Kluyveromyces lactis: one gene and its partner. The protein of the gene in region 2 interacts with the protein of the main gene of each other region in a pairwise test. Links are inferred from orthologs where the notes say so. Each region holds a gene or a part of one and is shown on either strand. Other genes may lie near its edges.

Region 1 (2,727 bases), about 1.0 Mb from region 2:
CTGTGGTATCATCGTAAAACAAGAAGATCTTCCTTTCAACGATCAAGGTGTAGTACCAGATATTATCATGAACCCACATGGTTTCCCATCTCGTATGACCGTTGGAAAAATGATTGAGTTGATATCAGGTAAAGCTGGTGTCTTGAATGGTACCCTTGAATACGGTACCTGTTTCGGTGGATCTAAGTTAGAAGACATGTCAAAGATTTTAGTCGATAATGGTTTCAACTATTCCGGTAAGGACATGCTTTATTCTGGTATTACTGGTGAATGTTTACAAGCTTACATTTTCTTTGGTCCAATCTACTATCAAAAGTTGAAGCATATGGTTCTTGACAAAATGCACGCAAGAGCCAGAGGTCCAAGGGCAGTGTTAACGCGTCAACCAACAGAAGGTAGATCTAGAGATGGTGGTCTAAGATTGGGTGAAATGGAACGTGACTGTGTTATCGCATACGGTGCTTCACAACTATTGTTGGAAAGATTAATGTTAAGTTCTGATGCCTTTGAAGTCGATGTTTGTGAAAAATGTGGTTTGATGGGTTATAGTGGATGGTGTACAAGCTGTAAAACCGCTGAACATGTTGTCAAAATGACTATTCCTTATGCAGCCAAACTTTTATTCCAGGAATTGCTTGCGATGAACATTGCACCAAGATTGAAATTAGGCGATGTCTTTGAAGCTTGACTGTAAGCATTTTCTGACGATTCTAGTAGTAACATTATTTATTCAGTATTACTTATAAAGCATCATTTTCACTTGAATTTTCATTATTGATTAGTATATACCATATCATAGTCAACTTTTAGTTTAGCCGCTAGCTCCTGCAAAGTCATTTCATCATTATCTTCTTTCCTTAGTTCATTCTCAAATTTCTGGAGTTCGTTCTGTTTCATTTCTTCTGCTTCTCTCACTTTCTCATCCATCCGTTCCCTGATTTCTTCCTTTTCTTCAATTGGCAAATGAAAGAAGTCCGGAGATTCCAAGATCTCTTCCATTTGTTGTTGAATGCCGTCATCGTATTGATACTCAACTTGGCGCTTTCTTGCCTCTATTTCTTTCCGCTTATACTCTTGATAACCGCCCATTCGATCAATTTTAACCAATATGGTATTCAACATGTAAGACATCCCACATTGACATATAGACCTCCATTTATTTATTAATTCGATAGTCTTGAGTTCGTTGTCGTAAGTTTGCATTATTTTCACTGCCCTTTTCAAAGCAAACTCTTTCTTCGTAAGATCTCGTATTTGTCGATCAAGATCGTTCTCTAACCTCCGGATCTCCTTTAAAAGTAACACACTACCCGTAGATCTTTCTTCAGGGTTTCTGCAAGATAACTTGGGCAAGATATCACTAAATGAATCATTCTCTTGAACTAAGGTTGTTTCACTATCACCTTCAAAATTCATGACATTCGACATAACGCCTGTAATGAGTACTGGTATAAGAATTATTCCACTTGGTCAAGTTATGCCTACCGCAGATTGTACTCCCGAGCTTTGTATTCTGAATGTAATGTTGAGTATACATGTTTAAAATAATTTACATAATGTAATTTCTATTTTCATGAAATTTACCGCCGATGTCTTTGACAAGGAGGCAATCCAATATAAGATGGTCGAAGACATAGGATTACCAATGAATTTAAAATTGAAGAAAGTTTGAACTTATCATACAATCATTTGATTATTCATCTGCTTCAGATTCAGCATCATCCATTACTATGTCTTGGGCTCCGTCAGAAATATTTTCTTCTTCTTCATCATCGTCAGATTCCAAGGATTCTCTTAAGAGTCTGGCCTTTTCTTCCTTAACCTCATTTTGGATAGCAACCCAGGAACCAAGAGGAGTATCTTTCCACGATATTTCATTTAAGAATTTTTCTACTTCTGTTCTGTTGTTTGGTCCGAAGTCTACATCTGATCTCTTCTTTGTAATGAATTGAGCGTTTTGGTTGATTTTATCTACCACGTTTTGCAACATCTTGTTAAACTTTACATTCTCAGAATTCTTGATATAACGACGTAATGAGATAACGGCAAGCGTTGTTAATTCTGGGAATGAAACGCTTCTGGAGTATAGAACAAAGTACTCACCTAGCAAATCTACAAATTGCTCAGCTAGCCCGTCTTGGTATATTTTTGTCCCCAAGTATGCTTGTGTACACTTGATGTTATGATCAAAGTCAAATGCAGGTAACGTTGACTTTCTAGGTTTCTTTGTGAATGCAGTAGAGGAGAGAATCTCAGATAATAATGGGTAAACTGGAATGAAGATACCAGTGTTTTGAGATAATCTGATCAAGGATCTGATCAAATAAAATCTCAATGGGAAAAATTGTGCTGTTGGAATCAATCTAATGACACCAATGGTAACTTGGACTAGTGGGTAAATCAATTGTCTAAGAGGGGATTCGTGGCCGTTTTCCTTTTCTGGGTTACATTGGATGGATATAACACGAGACCAGAAGTCCAAAGAGTGACAGAACTGCCAGTTATATACAATCTTGTAAGCACTTGATGGGTCCACCTTTGAGGACCTCTTAGTTGTGGCATTGATACTGTTTCTCAAGTGAATGGCTAGTTGTCTGATATATTCGAAACCCGATTGATAACTTATAACGTCATCAATACCGAAAAGTTCAGCAGCAGAGTTCTTTTGGAAATTGATTAGAGGCATGTTTCTGATGTTAGTTTTACGACAACTTTTAATGAAAGTAG
Region 2 (3,318 bases):
TGCTCAATCTTATAATTGTTGCGTTGTGCCTGGTTCTCGTATCAGAAGAATCAAAAGATTCCTTTCTGGTCAAAACGAAAATATCATTGTCGAAAGAGACTTCAAAGGTGTCATTTGGACTGAGTCTCATCAGGAAGCTGCTATGCTTGCTAGAACCGTCAATGAAACTGCTGTTGATGTCAAGCGTAAGAACCCATTTATCACCGAAGATACCGTGGTCCCAACAGATGATTTTACCGTTGTCAAGGGTGAAGTTTACATGATCGATTTGAAGTTGGCTCCATTGCAAGGATTGGAGCCAGGTTTGATCACTTTACACACTGTCGATCAATTCTCCGGTAAATCTGAATCCTCTGATGTGGTGGCTAGACCAGGTGCCATCTGCCGTGATTTTTCAAAGAGCCATGTTCTAAAGTTAAGAGCTGCTAGACAAGTGTTGACCAGATTGGATAAACAAGGTGTATACCCTACCAAATTAGCTCATATCGCTGATTCTTTCCCATTGGACGTACAGGAGCCTGATTTCGAAACCATCAAGCAAGAAATCAAGCCATTCAGATTAGGTCTTTCTGAAATTTCTAACAACTACCTAACAATCGACAGAGATGTCACCATCGTAAAACACGTTCCTTGGGCTAAGATCTTGGATCTAACAAACCCATCCGGTGTGTCAAGTTATGACGCCATGGCAAAGAATAAAGGTTTATACCCAGGTTTCGAGCTTCCTCTACCTAAACTAGGTTTGTCCAACCTACAGTTGAAATCCTTGCTAAAAAAACACTCTACGCCAGTTCCTGTGGTCCGTCAATGTGTCACTGTAGCCATCTGTGATGAAGAGTTGCTAAGAATCAGCGGAAACCTAAAATCTAACTGGGTTCATTCTGTTTACTCTATGGATACTGCAAGCAATATCGTTGCAGGTATATTCAAACTGGCTCAATTGTCCGAGGATAAGAGATTTGGTTTGAAGATCAGAGAAACTCAACCATGGAAAATGAAATTCTAATTTATTCATTACCAGTATTAACTACCTTCTTTGATAGAACTACTTCAACAGATAACAAATTCTATTTCATACACAAACACCCTTTTCGCATCTGCACACAATAACTCTACATTGATACACCAGTTCATATTATATTCAATACTCGTTTGATTTCGGTAGCCCAAGAGTCTTGTTCTTATGAGTCTTTATTCTTACCAACCAATTGCAACAAAAACAATGTATAAATAGCAACTTCTAAGTATCTTGTAGATCTGTACACTAGCAAAATCATAATAGAACTCAAGCTCTCAACTTTGTCATTAGTTCTTCTACTATTAGTGTGTTTGCTTCGGAAGGATTATCAAAACGTTCAAAATGATGGCGGCTAATTAGATTTTAGTATAAAAAGGATTTGGAGTCAGAAACCAAATCAACAAACCCAACTACCAATGAATATGACATAGCGAGATATCTAGTGCACATAACTAGGAGCGAGAAGGTGATCCTAAAAACCAATAACTTTGCATTTCATTCTACTTGAAACGTCCCATTCCATTTCTATTTAAGCTGTCATGTCTACAGAGACAGAAACTAAAACCAATGTGGTCAATATTGATGAGTTACAAAACTTCGGAATTAACGCGTCTGATATAACTAAATTGAAGACTGCTGGTATATTTACCGTTAACACTTGTTTGTCGACGACCAGAAGGAATTTGTGTAAAGTTAGAGGGTTATCGGAAGTGAAGGTAGAAAAGATTAAAGAAGCTGCCAATAAAATCATCACCATTGGCTTTATTCCAGCAACTCTGCAATGGCAGATTCGTCAAGCAGTTATGTCTATCTCTACCGGGTCGAAACAATTCGATTCTGTACTAGGAGGAGGAATAATGACAATGTCCATAACTGAGGTGTTTGGGGAGTTTAGGTGCGGTAAGACTCAATTATCCCATACGTTATGCGTGACAGCTCAATTACCAAAAGAACTAAATGGACCTGAGGGTAAGGTTGCATATATTGATACAGAGGGTACTTTCAGACCAGAAAGAATCAAGCAGATAGCACAAGGGTATGATTTGGATCCCGAAGTGTGCCTTGAAAATATCTCGTACGCCAGGGCACTCAATAGTGAGCATCAGATGGAGTTACTTGAACAGCTTGGCGAGGAACTCTCTTCAGGAGAATATAGACTATTAATAGTAGACTCAATTATGGCCAATTTCAGAGTTGATTATTCAGGCCGTGGGGAATTGAACGAGCGTCAGCAAAAACTAAACCAACATCTTTCTAGATTGAATCGTATCGCTGAGGAGAACAATATCGCAGTTTTCATGACCAACCAAGTTCAAAGTGATCCCGGTGCTTCTGCCTTGTTTGCTAGTGCCGATGGTAGGAAACCTGTCGGAGGACATGTCTTAGCCCATGCAAGTGCGACAAGAATATTATTGAGAAAAGGTAGAGGTGACGAAAGGGTCGCGAAATTACAAGATTCGCCTGATATGCCGGAAAAGGAGTGCGTTTATGTCATTGGTGAGCGTGGAATAATGGATTCTGATGAATAAGCCACTATGGGTGGCTCGTAAGAAAGACATACTTTCTATCGATAGAACGTTTTTACGAACAGAATAGTACAACTCTATAAACAAGTGACACACATCCATTTCCCTTACCACTTCGATAGGTGTTTTCTAATAGTCATATTCAAATCTTTCTGGCATGACAATGGGTGCGAATAAGGTCCAGCCGTATAAACCATAACAAATCCAAGCACTTATGATTTTAACCCATGAATAAAAGTATGTCCTGCCAACAGGAATAAAATCTCCAACATCATCTTGTGTAACATTTATAGTCAATAGGATCACAATCCATTGCGTAGCTAAAAAGAAAATGAAATGAAACAACGAGTAATTGTATTTTGTTACATTGAATTCATCATCATCACCATCTTCCCTACCAGAATCATTGACATGCATTCTTTGCTGCTCAGCTTCATAATCAAGCAAGGCGGATTGGGGCAAAGCACCCTCCTCAACTGCTTGTTTGATCGCTTGCAACCTCAGTTGATTACGTGTCTCTCCTATCCCGGAGTATTCAACATCATCATCGTATAAAGAAATCGCTCCGCTACTACCTCTTAGTGCGTTGTTTGCTGCAGCTCTGGTTGTCGTATATGCGATTGCGATAAAAGTGAACAGTGCACCTAGAACGGTACTGAACTTTCTGGTGTTACTTGTACGAACTAATGGATTGCAAAATTTATCGTCTGGTTCACTTGCCATAGCACTCATTGTTAAGTAAGTGCAATATACTGATACCATAGAACTTTGCGC

The links.
Region 1: the proteins of DMC1 (region 2) and MEI5 interact in binary tests that used the Saccharomyces cerevisiae proteins (3 or more experiments, as listed by UniProt). The link is inferred for Kluyveromyces lactis from reciprocal best matches to the Saccharomyces cerevisiae genes DMC1 and MEI5.

The regions. Positions count from the first base shown.
Region 1 is NC_006042.1:101,072-103,798, forward strand, and holds MEI5 (Mei5p), read right to left. Parts: upstream 1,429-2,727; coding exon 772-1,428; downstream 1-771. Other genes in the region: DNA-directed RNA polymerase III core subunit RET1, read left to right, coding at 1-688; mRNA-binding ribosome synthesis protein NOC2, read right to left, coding at 1,694-2,727. UniProt on the Saccharomyces cerevisiae protein: Involved in meiotic DNA-break repair. Required for the recruitment of DCM1 to meiosis recombination hot spots.
Region 2 is NC_006042.1:1,096,394-1,099,711, reverse strand, and holds DMC1 (recombinase DMC1), read left to right. Parts: upstream 1-1,557; coding exon 1,558-2,547; downstream 2,548-3,318. Other genes in the region: ARX1 (putative hydrolase), read left to right, coding at 1-1,006; TMS1 (Tms1p), read right to left, coding at 2,674-3,318. UniProt on the Saccharomyces cerevisiae protein: Required for meiotic recombination, synaptonemal complex formation and cell cycle progression. Recruited to meiosis recombination hotspots by MEI5 and SAE3.